3 linked regions of the Lonchura striata genome follow. The protein of the gene in region 2 interacts with the protein of the main gene of each other region in a biochemical or structural test. Links are inferred from orthologs where the notes say so. Each region holds a gene or a part of one and is shown on either strand. Other genes may lie near its edges.

Evidence for each region.
Region 1: the proteins of MARCHF6 (region 2) and UBE2G2 form a complex in vitro, tested with the Homo sapiens proteins (2 studies listed by BioGRID). The link is inferred for Lonchura striata from reciprocal best matches to the Homo sapiens genes MARCHF6 and UBE2G2.
Region 3: the proteins of MARCHF6 (region 2) and UBE2J2 form a complex in vitro, tested with the Homo sapiens proteins (2 studies listed by BioGRID, with this or other methods). The link is inferred for Lonchura striata from reciprocal best matches to the Homo sapiens genes MARCHF6 and UBE2J2.

What each region holds. Positions count from the first base shown.
Region 1 is NC_134612.1:5,066,215-5,069,959, forward strand, and holds the start of UBE2G2 (ubiquitin-conjugating enzyme E2 G2), read left to right. Parts: upstream 1-1,401; coding exon 1,402-1,513; intron 1,514-1,599; coding exon 1,600-1,645; intron 1,646-3,745. UniProt on the Homo sapiens protein: Accepts ubiquitin from the E1 complex and catalyzes its covalent attachment to other proteins. In vitro catalyzes 'Lys-48'-linked polyubiquitination. Involved in endoplasmic reticulum-associated degradation (ERAD).
Region 2 is NC_134603.1:71,766,863-71,770,607, forward strand, and holds the start of MARCHF6 (E3 ubiquitin-protein ligase MARCHF6), read left to right. Parts: upstream 1-1,451; 5' UTR 1,452-1,528; coding exon 1,529-1,547; intron 1,548-3,745. UniProt on the Homo sapiens protein: Endoplasmic reticulum membrane-associated E3 ubiquitin ligase that plays a critical role in mitigating endoplasmic reticulum stress, the regulation of cholesterol and lipid homeostasis, and ferroptosis.
Region 3 is NC_134626.1:577,546-581,290, forward strand, and holds the start of UBE2J2 (ubiquitin-conjugating enzyme E2 J2), read left to right. Parts: upstream 1-975; 5' UTR 976-1,044; intron 1,045-2,133; coding exon 2,134-2,264; intron 2,265-2,738; coding exon 2,739-2,779; intron 2,780-3,349; coding exon 3,350-3,452; intron 3,453-3,745. UniProt on the Homo sapiens protein: Catalyzes the covalent attachment of ubiquitin to other proteins. Seems to function in the selective degradation of misfolded membrane proteins from the endoplasmic reticulum (ERAD).

The sequences.
Region 1 (3,745 bases), on a different chromosome or scaffold from region 2:
ATGAAGACCCTTTGCTCTGTGGGCTTTGGCTGTTTATTCCCATTGCCTCTGTTCTCCTTGGAGTGGAGTGCTGTATGACACAATTCCATGTGGCTGCCCACCACAGGGACTGCTGCCAGCTTTTCCAGGGAAGCATCAGAGGGATTTTCTTCTTAGAGAGAACCACAAGATGGAGCAAAATGATTCCAGGAGCTCCTGTGTTTGACATCTCCCTCTTTCTGTCTGAAAACATCAACAAGAAAAGCTATTGGAGACCCACTGTGAAGCTGGAAAAACCTGCCATGGAATGCCAGGACGTGTGGAAAACAGCAAAGCTGAGTTTCAATCTGCTGCTGGGCTTTGGAACTTCAGAGAGGGCTGTGCCAAAGTTAAGGGCACTCTGAGCAAACTAAAGATCTCTCCTGGCAGTGCATCTGAGCATCTTGTTCAAATTTTGCACTAAAGGAGCTGCTGTAAGACACAGATCTGTTCTGTGCAGCACTGCTCATACAGTTTTCACCTACAGCCTGAATAGAAATTAGGTCAAGTGTCTCTGGCTGTGTTCTGTGTGTTACTGGCCACTGGTGTTCCAGAGGCCATTGATTAGGGAACACAGTGCTGGATAAGCAGCTGGGAGTGTCACCTCCTGCCACCAGCTCCAGCAGCTGCCCCATGGCTCACTCAGAGCCTTGGGCTTGGTGTTGAGCCCCCGGGACTGCTGGCACATTGGTTTGCTGTTTGTGGCTGAACTGTGCCTCAGCTGCTGCTGCCTCCCTGCAGAGCATCAGAAACTAGAAACTGATGGTCAGTCCACTAGATAGGAGAAAATCTGGTTGTTATTTTATCAGCACGTGCTGTACTGGCCTTCACCAGCTTCAAGTAAGGGGCTGATGCTGCAGATTGTTTCATGAATTTGGAATTGTATCAGTTTCCTAGCAAAAGTGAGGATTGATGGATCCAAACTTGCCTGTGCAGCCATGGCTGTTTTATTGATGCTTCTTTTTTTTTTTTTTTAACTCATATTTTCCATGCCCTGCAGGAGGTTGGATTGAATTCTCATGTGTTTGCTTCTGTTTTTGTGTTGTTCTGGGTTTTGCACTGGGGTGTATCAAACCTGAATGGTGCAGAGAGGTTACAGGAGTACAAACTTCAGGCTCTTATGCTATGCAGCAGATACCATAGAGGTGCAAGAGAAGAGTGTTTCCCAGGCTTTGTGAAAAGCTTTTGTCTTCCTTCTCAAGTTTAAATTATCGCCTCTGTGAAAACAGTGGGCTCAATGATCCTAGAGGTCTTTTCCAACCTAAACCATTCTGTGATTCCAAGGCTAGTTCTATGAACCTGAAAAACTCCGAAGTGCTAAATAATTTTGTCTAGAACACTGTCCTGCATTAAGCAATGGTGGTGGGGCCCCTGTGCTAAGCCATGGTCACTCAAACACCCCCTGAAATGTTTGGGCTTACAAGTCACCTCAACCTTCCTTGTGTTTCTGTTTTTGCAGAGCTGACCCTGAACCCTCCAGAAGGGATTGTAGCAGGTGAGGAACCAAGCAGGGTTTGTGCACTCTGGAGCTGTGACCTTGGGTTCAGGTAGCACTGAGCATTGTTCTGTTCTGTTTCACAGGTCCCATGAATGAAGAGAACTTTTTTGAATGGGAAGCCCTGATCATGTGAGTTAATACTGTTTGGTGTCTGAAATCAGCAGTTGCTGTGATGAGCTTCTAGGAGAGCAAGAATGTAAAAAAGTACTGACAGTTCTGTGTGACATCAGCATTGGCCTGCCTTCAGTTGGAAACTCCTCTGATCCAAAGAGGGAGTTACATTGGAACTTTAAACAGAGTGACAGAGGCAGCACTGGTGATGTGTACAACTTGTTATGATAACTTCTTGTACAGGTGTCATAATAATAAAATGCTCACAAATTTGTCAGGAATCCTCATTTGGGCTCCCTTGGATATATGTTACATTTACAAACACTGTAGGAAACAAACAGGTGCTTGTAGATCACACATACCTTTTGGAACATTGCCTAACTACAAATGCAGGACAAGTTTTGAGTGGAGCAAAATACACAGGTTATAGGTGAGAGGAAAATGAATTCACTTACTATTCAGTTTTTTTCTTGAAATATTGAAAGGTTCTGATCAGAAGTCAAAATTCTTTTGAAGTTCTTTACACTTCGTTAATCTCATGGTGCTGTCAAGAGTTGTGCAGTGGTTTTATGTAGAAAGAGATTCACTCTTCTGTTGGTGAATAGCTCTGATCCTGACCTGCTGTGTTTTGGGGCTGATGCAAACTCCTTTACTGTGTTCTCTCTCTTCCACTCCCCAGCTGATGGGTGTAGTTGTTGGTAGCAAAATTTGCCATGAAAAGACAAAATCTTTTTGCCCAGCATCTTACAGGTTGTCTTCTCTATTTTGTACTCCTACTCATGCTGTATCTTTTTTGGGAACTTCGAGTACATGGAATAACTGGTGATTTTTACAAAATAAAGTTCTAAAATGTCAGAGGAGAGGGGAAAAGACGTTGATCAGTAGCATCTGACAATTTCTGCAAATACTGCACAATTAAAAGATGAAGCTCCAGACCACTGAGTCCATCTTGAAGCTGGTGGTCTGTTGTTAGGGTAGATCCTGGCTCTGTGTTTCAGGATTCCTTTGGTAAGAATGGGTGATTTCCTCCCCTTCAGCCAGGGCTGGCTTGTCCCAGAGGGCTCTGGGGGCAGCAGGCAGTGGCTGTGGCCCTGCCCTCTCCGTGCCCACTGTGATCAGGGCAGGTTTCCCTGCAACCACCAGTGCTGACTGGTGAGATTCTCAGCTGGCGTGGGTGGCAGAGTTTTCCTAGCTGGGTTTGCTTGGAATGTGTTGTCTAGGGATGAAAAACAAGATTTCTGTCTCTTGGGCTCAGGCATGCAACCAATACAAAAGCTGTAGGGAATTCCCTATTCCACACAAAGTGCTTGTGTGGGTGATCCTGCTGCATGGCAAGTCAGAGCCTCTGAGTTATTTTAGACCTTGGTTAGTGGAGGTTTGGATTAGCACTGTTTGTTTGCTCATTGATGGCAAGAGTTGGCAAATGCCTCTGCTTATGTGCAGTGATTACTCCTGGGATAGCAGGTTGTGCTTCCTGGTAGCTCAGTGCCCTGAAAATAAACACTTAGCATGGAAATGGGTTGTTCTGTTGCCTGACAGCAGAGATTTTGGCTGCAGGGTCTTAGGCTTTCTGTGAGAGGCATAGTCAGCACATCTGCTTCGGAATGGGCCAGATTTCAGGTCAGACAGCTGGGAGTGTGGAAATCCCAGAGGGTTTTATGCACTTCTTGGAGCATGGAAGGAAATTCCTGCTTTTTGGTACTTCTTCCTAGCAGAGGCTGAGTACAGGTTTCCTGAGGGACACTCAGAAGTACTTCTGAATTGCTTAGAAAATACCTTTACTGATGTTTCCTGTCACATCCTTAAAGAGCAGAGGAGCTGCTTTGCAGACTTGAAAGCCCTTTAAAGTGCTGAGTGTTGAGCTTCAGGTCTTTGTCAGCGTAAAATGAGAGGCGGAGGTGCTTTAATTTTGGTTTCTGTATTGTGTGTGTGTCATAATAAAGTTATATTTTAAGATCTGCTCAATTTTGAAGGTGTGATACAATAGAAACATGTTTACCCTAAACACATTGGGTTACTTTCATCTCTTTACAAACCTTGTTAGTAGCAGTGTTTGCAATGCTTTTGGAAAGTAAGTTACATGACTTGTTTGTATTTGTCTGTGGTGGTCTCCTCCAG
Region 2 (3,745 bases):
CTGCCACAATGGAGCACTAAAACAATGCACACATACATTTCATCAGGATGGAATTCCTCTCTAGCCTGAATAAAATTAAATAGTTTTCTTCCTTAACAATATTCCTGCCAACTCAGCAGGGCATGAGCAACAGCTCTCAGAGCACATGGCAGAGTACAAAGTTTTAATGCGTGCTGCCCTGGCTAGGTAAGGCAGCAAGACATGGAAACATAAATGATTAAACTAAGAGAGATGTTTGAGCTTTGCTGAGCAGTTTATTAACTGTTGGAAAGCCCCGGCTCTGGAAGGCTTGGTGAGATTTGACGAACAGCACAGCTTGACACTGAGGAGGATGGCTATTTCCAGGGCTTACACATCCCTGATCTCTGGAACACTGACCCTCTCAAAATCTGGCTGACTTCACCTAGGGATGCAGCGTTTCTCTCCGGTTTGGAGTAGAAGAACTTAGAGCAGATTTTGGCTACATTTTGTCCGACTCCCGTGCTCTTCCCCCGCCGCCCGCTCCCGGCCGAGCTGCGGGGCCGGGCCCTGGCAGGCTGCGGGGACAAGTGCTGGATCCTGACCGGGGTCACAACAACCCCAGGCAGCGCTACAGGCCGGGGAGAAGGGAAAGCTGCCCATTGGAACTGGACCTGGGGGTGTTGGTCAACAGCTGGCTGAACACGAGCCAGCATGTGTCCAGGAGGCCAATGGCATCCTGGCTTGGATCAGGAACAGCGTGGCCAGCGGGACCAGGGCACTGATTGTCCCCCTGTATTCAGCATTGATGGGGCCACAGCTCGAGTGCTGTGTCCAGCTCTGTGCCTCAGCTCAGGAGATTGAGGTGCTGGAAAGTGTCCAGAGAGAAACAGCAAACCCGGTGACTGGTCTGGAACCGGGCCTGTGGAATGGCTGAGGCAGCCGGGGTTGTTTAGCCTGGCGTAAAGGAGGCTCAGGAAGGACATTATCCCTCTGAGCAACCACAGGAAAAGAGGCTGTAGCCGGGTCGGGATCGCATCTTCTTCCCAGATAGCTAGCGACAGGAGAGGGGACATAGTCTGAAGATGCAGCAGGAAAGGTTCTGATTGGACGTTATGAGGAATTTCTTCACAGAAAGAGTGATTGGGCTTTGGAGCGGGCTGCCCAGGGAGGTGGTGGAGTCACCGTTGCCGGAGGTGTTTAAGGAAAAGCTGTATGTTTGTGCCATGGTCTAGTTGACATGGAGGTGTTCGTTCATAGGTTGGACCCAATGGTCTCGGAGGTCTTTTTTTGACCCCGTGTTTCCGCAGAAGAGAGTGCGGCAGCCCCGCAGCAGCGGCAGCCCCGCGGCAGCGCCCGCCCGGCCCACTCGGGCCCGGCCCGCTGCGGGGCCTCCCTGCCCGCGCGCCCGGCAGGCGGCGCTCGCGGCGGGCGGCCGGCGCTCCGTCCCCGCGCGGCCGCGCTCGGCGCTCTCGGGCTCGGCGGCGCGGCCGGTCCGTCCGCTCGGCGCGCGGCCCCGCCCCCCACGGTCACGCCACCCGCCCGGCCGGCGCTGCGTCAGCCCGGCAAGATGGAGACCGCTGAGGAAGGTACGGCGCTCGCCCCGCTACCGCCTGCCCCCGAGCAGGGGCTCTGCCGGGGCAGCCTCGGAGGGTGGAGGGGCGCGGGAGCGGAGAAGGAGGGTGTCACCGGGCCCGCTGGGCGGGCTGGGGCTGTTCACGCCCGGAGGGGCGTCTCGCAGCGGAGCTGCAGGTGCCCGGGCCCCGCGCCCCTCCGCCGCGCCGCGGGGCGGGGCCGGGCCAGGGGCGCAGCGCGCGAGGCGGCGCGCGGTGCCCCTTACATAACCGCGGGGGGCGGCGCTGCCGCGGGCCGCACCCGGGCAGCGGGGCCGCACCCGGGCAGCGGGGCCCGCACCCGGGCACCGGGGCCGTACCCGGGCACCGGGCCCGCACCTGGGCAGCGGGGCCGCACCCGGGCAGCGGGGCCGTACCTGAGCACCGGGGCCGCACCTGGGCACCGGGGCCGCACCCGGGCACCGGGCCCGCACCCGGGCACCAGGGCCGCACCCGGGCACCGGGCCCGCACCTGGGCACCGGGGCCGCACCTGGGCAGCGGGGCCGTACCTGAGCACCGGGGCCGCACCTGGGCACCGGGGCCGCACCTGGGCACCGGGGCCGCACCTGGGCAGCGGGCCCGCACCTGGGCAGCGGGGCCCGCCGGAGCTTTCCGCCGGCTGAGGCTTTGCCTGGGGAAGGGGGGCCCGGGCAGACATGAGACCCCGGGAGGGAAAGCAGCAGGCCGGGTGCGCACGCCGGAGCAGCGGGGGAGGCGGCGAGGAGGGCACTGCCCCCAGCTCCCTCCTGCCAGCGGGCTCTGTCGGACCCGGCCGGCCCTGTGGCCCAGGGAGCCTTACATTTCCGCGTTTAGCTGAATAGTAATAACTGCTCCTTTCGCAAAGCTGACTTTGCTACTTGTGCTGGGCAATCTGTTTGGAAAATTGAAATATGGAGCAGCTGACATGTTTCTCTGTCTCTTTTAGAACAGACTAATACGTAGTCAGTTACCTAACTTAAAAATACTTGTCAAAGTATAATACTTGTCAAACCCCCCCTCAGTCATGAGGGGGATTCTATGTGTAGTATCCCTTTTTAAGGGTATTGCTTTATTTGAGATCAAACATGGATATATTTTGTCAGCACTTTTGTTATGCTTAGTTTATCACAAAATCACAGAATTGTTAAGGGTGTAAGGGATCTCTGGAGTTCATCTCCTCAAACTCCCCTGCCAAGGCAGGGTGACCAAGAACAGGTGACACAGGAATGTGTTGAGGTGGGTTTTGACTGTCTCCAGAGAGGGCCTATGTAGTTCAAGCAGGTACTGTAGAACTTTGACAGATCAGCATTTCATATTGTAGTGTAAACCAAACTAAATAAAGGATGTTAGTTGTGTTATGTTTCTTGCAGTATTGGAGCTTTGTTTGTAATCTCAAACAATGAGTGTAAATACATACTGCAGTAGCAAAGCAGTTCCAAGGAAAGCATTTTGCATCTTGGCTTTTGTTTCTTTGGCATAATTTTGAATGTAGCTTTTTATCAGGTGTCTCTTGGTTTTCCTGCTTGAGAGGATTAAACAAAAAAAGCTGGAAAAACATAAACTACTGGATGAAATGAGACACTACCTTTGTAGTAGTATCTTTTGGGTTGTGCTGTAGACATATTTAATACCCATGATCACTGATGGTTTATCAAAATATTAATGTTTCTTAAATGTAACATTTAAAGTTGCTTGCTGCAGCTCTGTAGACCAAGTTACTTACATCAATGAAATCAACCACATTTGTTGAATTCCACACTTGAAAATTGGACTTTTCTGTTTTTATCTATAAACACACACAAAGGCACATATATATGCAGCCTTAGATATTTTATTGTGTCCTTATCAATGTTGCCCTCAAAAGCTCCCAGTGGCAGCACGAAAGTAAACAGTCTATATACTCACTTTCCATAAATACCACTAGAATGTTACAACTTCTACAGTTTCAAACCTCAGATCCTACTATTAGAACTGCACACAGCTTGCCAGAATGCTGAGGAGACTTCCCAAGGTTAGAAAGCCGTGAACAGCAGCAGCAAAGAATGTGCTAGTGCCTTGAGGAAGAGGAAATATGATATTACTGTGTGCGTGAGCTTCTGCTACAAAGTGTCAGATGGACTTTCTGAACGGGTGATTGTTTGGTTGCGGTATTACGGCCATTGTGGTTCTGATGGGCTTTGTGCTTGACTGAGCT
Region 3 (3,745 bases), on a different chromosome or scaffold from region 2:
TAAAAACTGTTCTTTACATTCTGAGCCCTGTTTCTCCCAGGATCACCTTTCCCGCTGGGCCTTTGGTCGCGTTATGTCGCGATATGGAGAGCGCAGCCCTCGGCTCCCCTCCGCCACGGCTCCCTGGAATACAAATTAGATTCTTTAATATAATATATACATAATATATATATACATATATATATGTATATATGTATATATGTATATATATGTATATATATAATATATACATATAATATATAATATATCGTAAACATATTAACGCAATATAGAAAATATACGAATTATGTTAACATGATATATTACAGATATATTAACATATTTTAAAATATTCTAAGCTCAGGGCGCGCTTTTAAGAAACTGCCAAGCACCTCCGCGCTGGGTATGGCCCCTTTTATCCCTTGTTAACTCTGTTTAAGTTTCTGCATCCCGAGCGCCGTTTCGCTCAGCTGCGTGCCCAGACGCCCCGTCCCGCCGGGGCCGTGTGGCGCCCCGGCGCCCGGCCCGCGCCCGGCCCGCGCCGTGCCCGCGCCATACCCGCGCCATGTCCGCGCCATACCCGCGCCATGCCCGCGCCCGGCCCGCGCCCGGCCCGCGCCATGTCCGCGCCCGGCCCGCGCCCGGCCCGCGCCATGTCCGCGCCATGCCCGCGCCCGGCCCGCGCCATACCCGCGCCATGTCCGCGCCCGGCCCGCGCCCGGCCCGCGCCATGCCCGCGCCCGGCCCGCGCCATACCCGCGCCATACCCGCGCCATACCCGCGCCCGGTCCGCGCCCGGCCCGCGCCATGCCCGCGCCCGGCTCCCCTCACGCTCCGCCGCGCCTCCCCGGAAGCGGAAGCGGCCCCGGAAGCGGAAGCGGCCCCGGAAGCGGAAGCGGCCCCGGAAGCGCCGCCCGCGCCGCCATCTTGGCAGAGCCGTGCGGGGCCTGACGGAGCCCCGCGGAGCCGCGGCCGCCGCTCCCCGCCGCCCCCGCGGCCCGGCCGCCGCTCCCCGCCTGTCCCCGGTCCGGGAGGGGCCGCCCGGGGCCCGGCGGCCGCGGAGAGGTGAGCGGGGGGGACGGGCGGGCTGCCTCCGCGGCCCCCGCAGCTCCTCTCTGCCCTTCCGCTTCTTCCTCTGTTTTCGCTCTTCTTCCCTCCCTCCCTCCCTTTCCCTCCTTTCCCTTCTCTCTTTCAGTCCTTCCTTTCCTCGGCTGCCTTCCTGTCTCTCCTCCTTCTGCCCTTCTGCTTCTCCCTCCGTTTTTCCCTCCTATTCCCTCCCTTTCCCTTCTCTCTTTCAGTCCTTCCTTTCCGGAGCTGTCTTCCTGTTATCCCCCTCCTCCTCTCTGCCGTTCTCTTTCTCTGTCCGTTTTTCTCTCTTCCATCCCTCCCTTTTCCGCCTTTCAGTCCTTCCTTTCTTCGGCTGCCTTCCTGGCTCCCAATCGTGTCTGCCGTTCTGTTTTCCCCAACGTTTTTCCATTTTCTTCCCTCCCTCCCTTTTCCACCTTCTGCCTTTCAGTCCTCCCTTTCCTGGGCTGCCTTCCTGTCTCCCTTCCTCCTCTCTGCCGTTCTTCTTCTCCCTCCGTTTTTCCCTCTTTTTTCTTCCCTCCCTTTTCCACCGTTCAGTCCTTCCTTTCCTTGGCTGCCTCCCTCTCCCCCTCTCCTTCGAGTCCCTCCTTTCCTTTTCCCTCTTTCCCCTTTTCCTTCCAGCCCCTTCCTCTTTACCTCTCCCTTTCCCCCCCTTTCTTTCTCCTTTCCCCCTTTTTTCTCCATTTCCCCCTTGTTCTTCCTCCTTGTTTTCTCCTTTTCTCCTCTCCCTTTCATTCCCTCCCTTCCTCTTTCCCTTTTTCCTTTTCTCTTTTTCTCCTTTCTGTTTTAGTCCTTCCCCCCTTCCCCCTGCTTTTACCCCCCCTTTTTTGATATATAAATTAACTTGTATGACTAAATTAATTTGCATAGATAAAATAATTTATGTTAAGATCCCAAGGGATTTAATTATTGAGATTTTCCATGATTGTTGCTCTGTAAGAACCCAAATAATTCAGTTTCTGTCCCAGATCCAGCCCACAGAGCGGGTTTTGTGAAGCCCCGCGCTGGCCGGGCGGCGTTGCCGCCGTTAATTAGCAGGCTGGGTTAATTGTGGTGTAATTGGCGCAGATGAGCGGCAGCAGCGCTAAGAGGGCTCCCACCACGGCCACGCAGCGGCTGAAGCAGGATTACCTGAGGATCAAAAAGGATCCCGTGCCTTACATCTGCGCTGAGCCCTTGCCCTCCAACATCCTGGAATGGTGGAGATTGGGAAATGGGAATGGGAATTGGGGTGGGAATTCGGAATTGGGAATGGGAATTGGGGTGGGAATTGGGGCGGGCTGTTTCTTACTCCTGGGAATTGGGGTTGGAATTGGGGTGGATTGTGTCTCACCCCTGGGAACTGGGATGGGAATTGGGGTGGGCTGTTCCTCACTCCTGGAACTGGGGTGGGCTGTTCCTCACTCCTGGAATTGGGGTGGGCTGTTCCTCACTCCTGGAATTGGGGTGGGCTGTTCCTCACTCCTGGAACTGGGGTGGGCTGTTCCTCACTCCTGGAATTCAGCTGGAATTCCCAGGGGGAATTCCTCACTCCTGGACAGAAGGAATTTCCCAGGCTTTCAGCTCCGACTCCCTCTCCTGGAGCTGGGGCAGGCGGGGAGGGAAACTGAGGCTGATCCTGAATTTTTTTGGGTTTCTGTGGATTCCCAGTGTTCCATTCCCCTCTTTTCCAGGCACTACGTGGTGCGAGGGCCTGAGCTGACCCCATATGAAGGTAAATCCCTACCTGGGGGTTGGCATGGAAATTCAGGAATTCCAGAGGGTGGGAAAAGGCAAAGTAATCCCACTAAAAACTGGGGAAGAGGTGAAGAAACTGAGGTGCTGCTGTCAATCGTTTTTCTCTTATTAAGAGCTTTAATAAAATAAAATTTAGGTTAAAGCAAATATCAAATTTCTTCATGTTTTACAGAAATATTCTCTAATTTATGACAAAGATAATACCAAAAATTCCCATTTTTACAGCAGAAATGTCCTGAGTGATATGGGATTCAAATTTATTTGACCCATTTTTGGGTAGAAGAAGAAATAAAGCAGGGAAATTGGGAATTGGGGTGGGAATTATTAATTAAATATAATTTATTTAGCCCATTTTATGGGTAGTTTAGAAGAAATAAAGCAAGGGGAATTGGGATGGGAATTAATTATTAATTAAGTGTAATTTATTTAACCCATTTTTGGGTAGTTTGGGAGAAGGAATAAATCAGGGGAATTGAAGATAGGACCTGGAATTGGGGATGAGACTTTTTAATTAAACTCATTTAACCCATTTTGGGCTGGTTTGCAGGTGGATATTACCACGGAAAATTAATATTCCCTCGAGAATTCCCGTTCAAGCCCCCCAGTATTTATATGATCACCCCCAATGGAAGGTTCAAGTGCAACACGAGGTGAGGACTCATTCCCAGAATTCCAGCCATTCCCATCCCAGCCGTTCCCGTCCCAAATCAAGGACTCATTCCCAGAATTCCAGCCATTCCCGTCCCATCCATTCCCATCCCAAATCAAAGAGTCCTTCCCAGAATCCCAGCCATTCCCATCCCAGCGATTCCCATCCCATCCATTCCCATCCCAAATCAAAGAGTCCTTCCCAGAATTCCAGCCATTCCCATCCCAAATCAAGGCCTCATTCCCAGAATCCCAGCCATTCCCATCCCAACACCCCAGCCGTTCCCACCCCGAC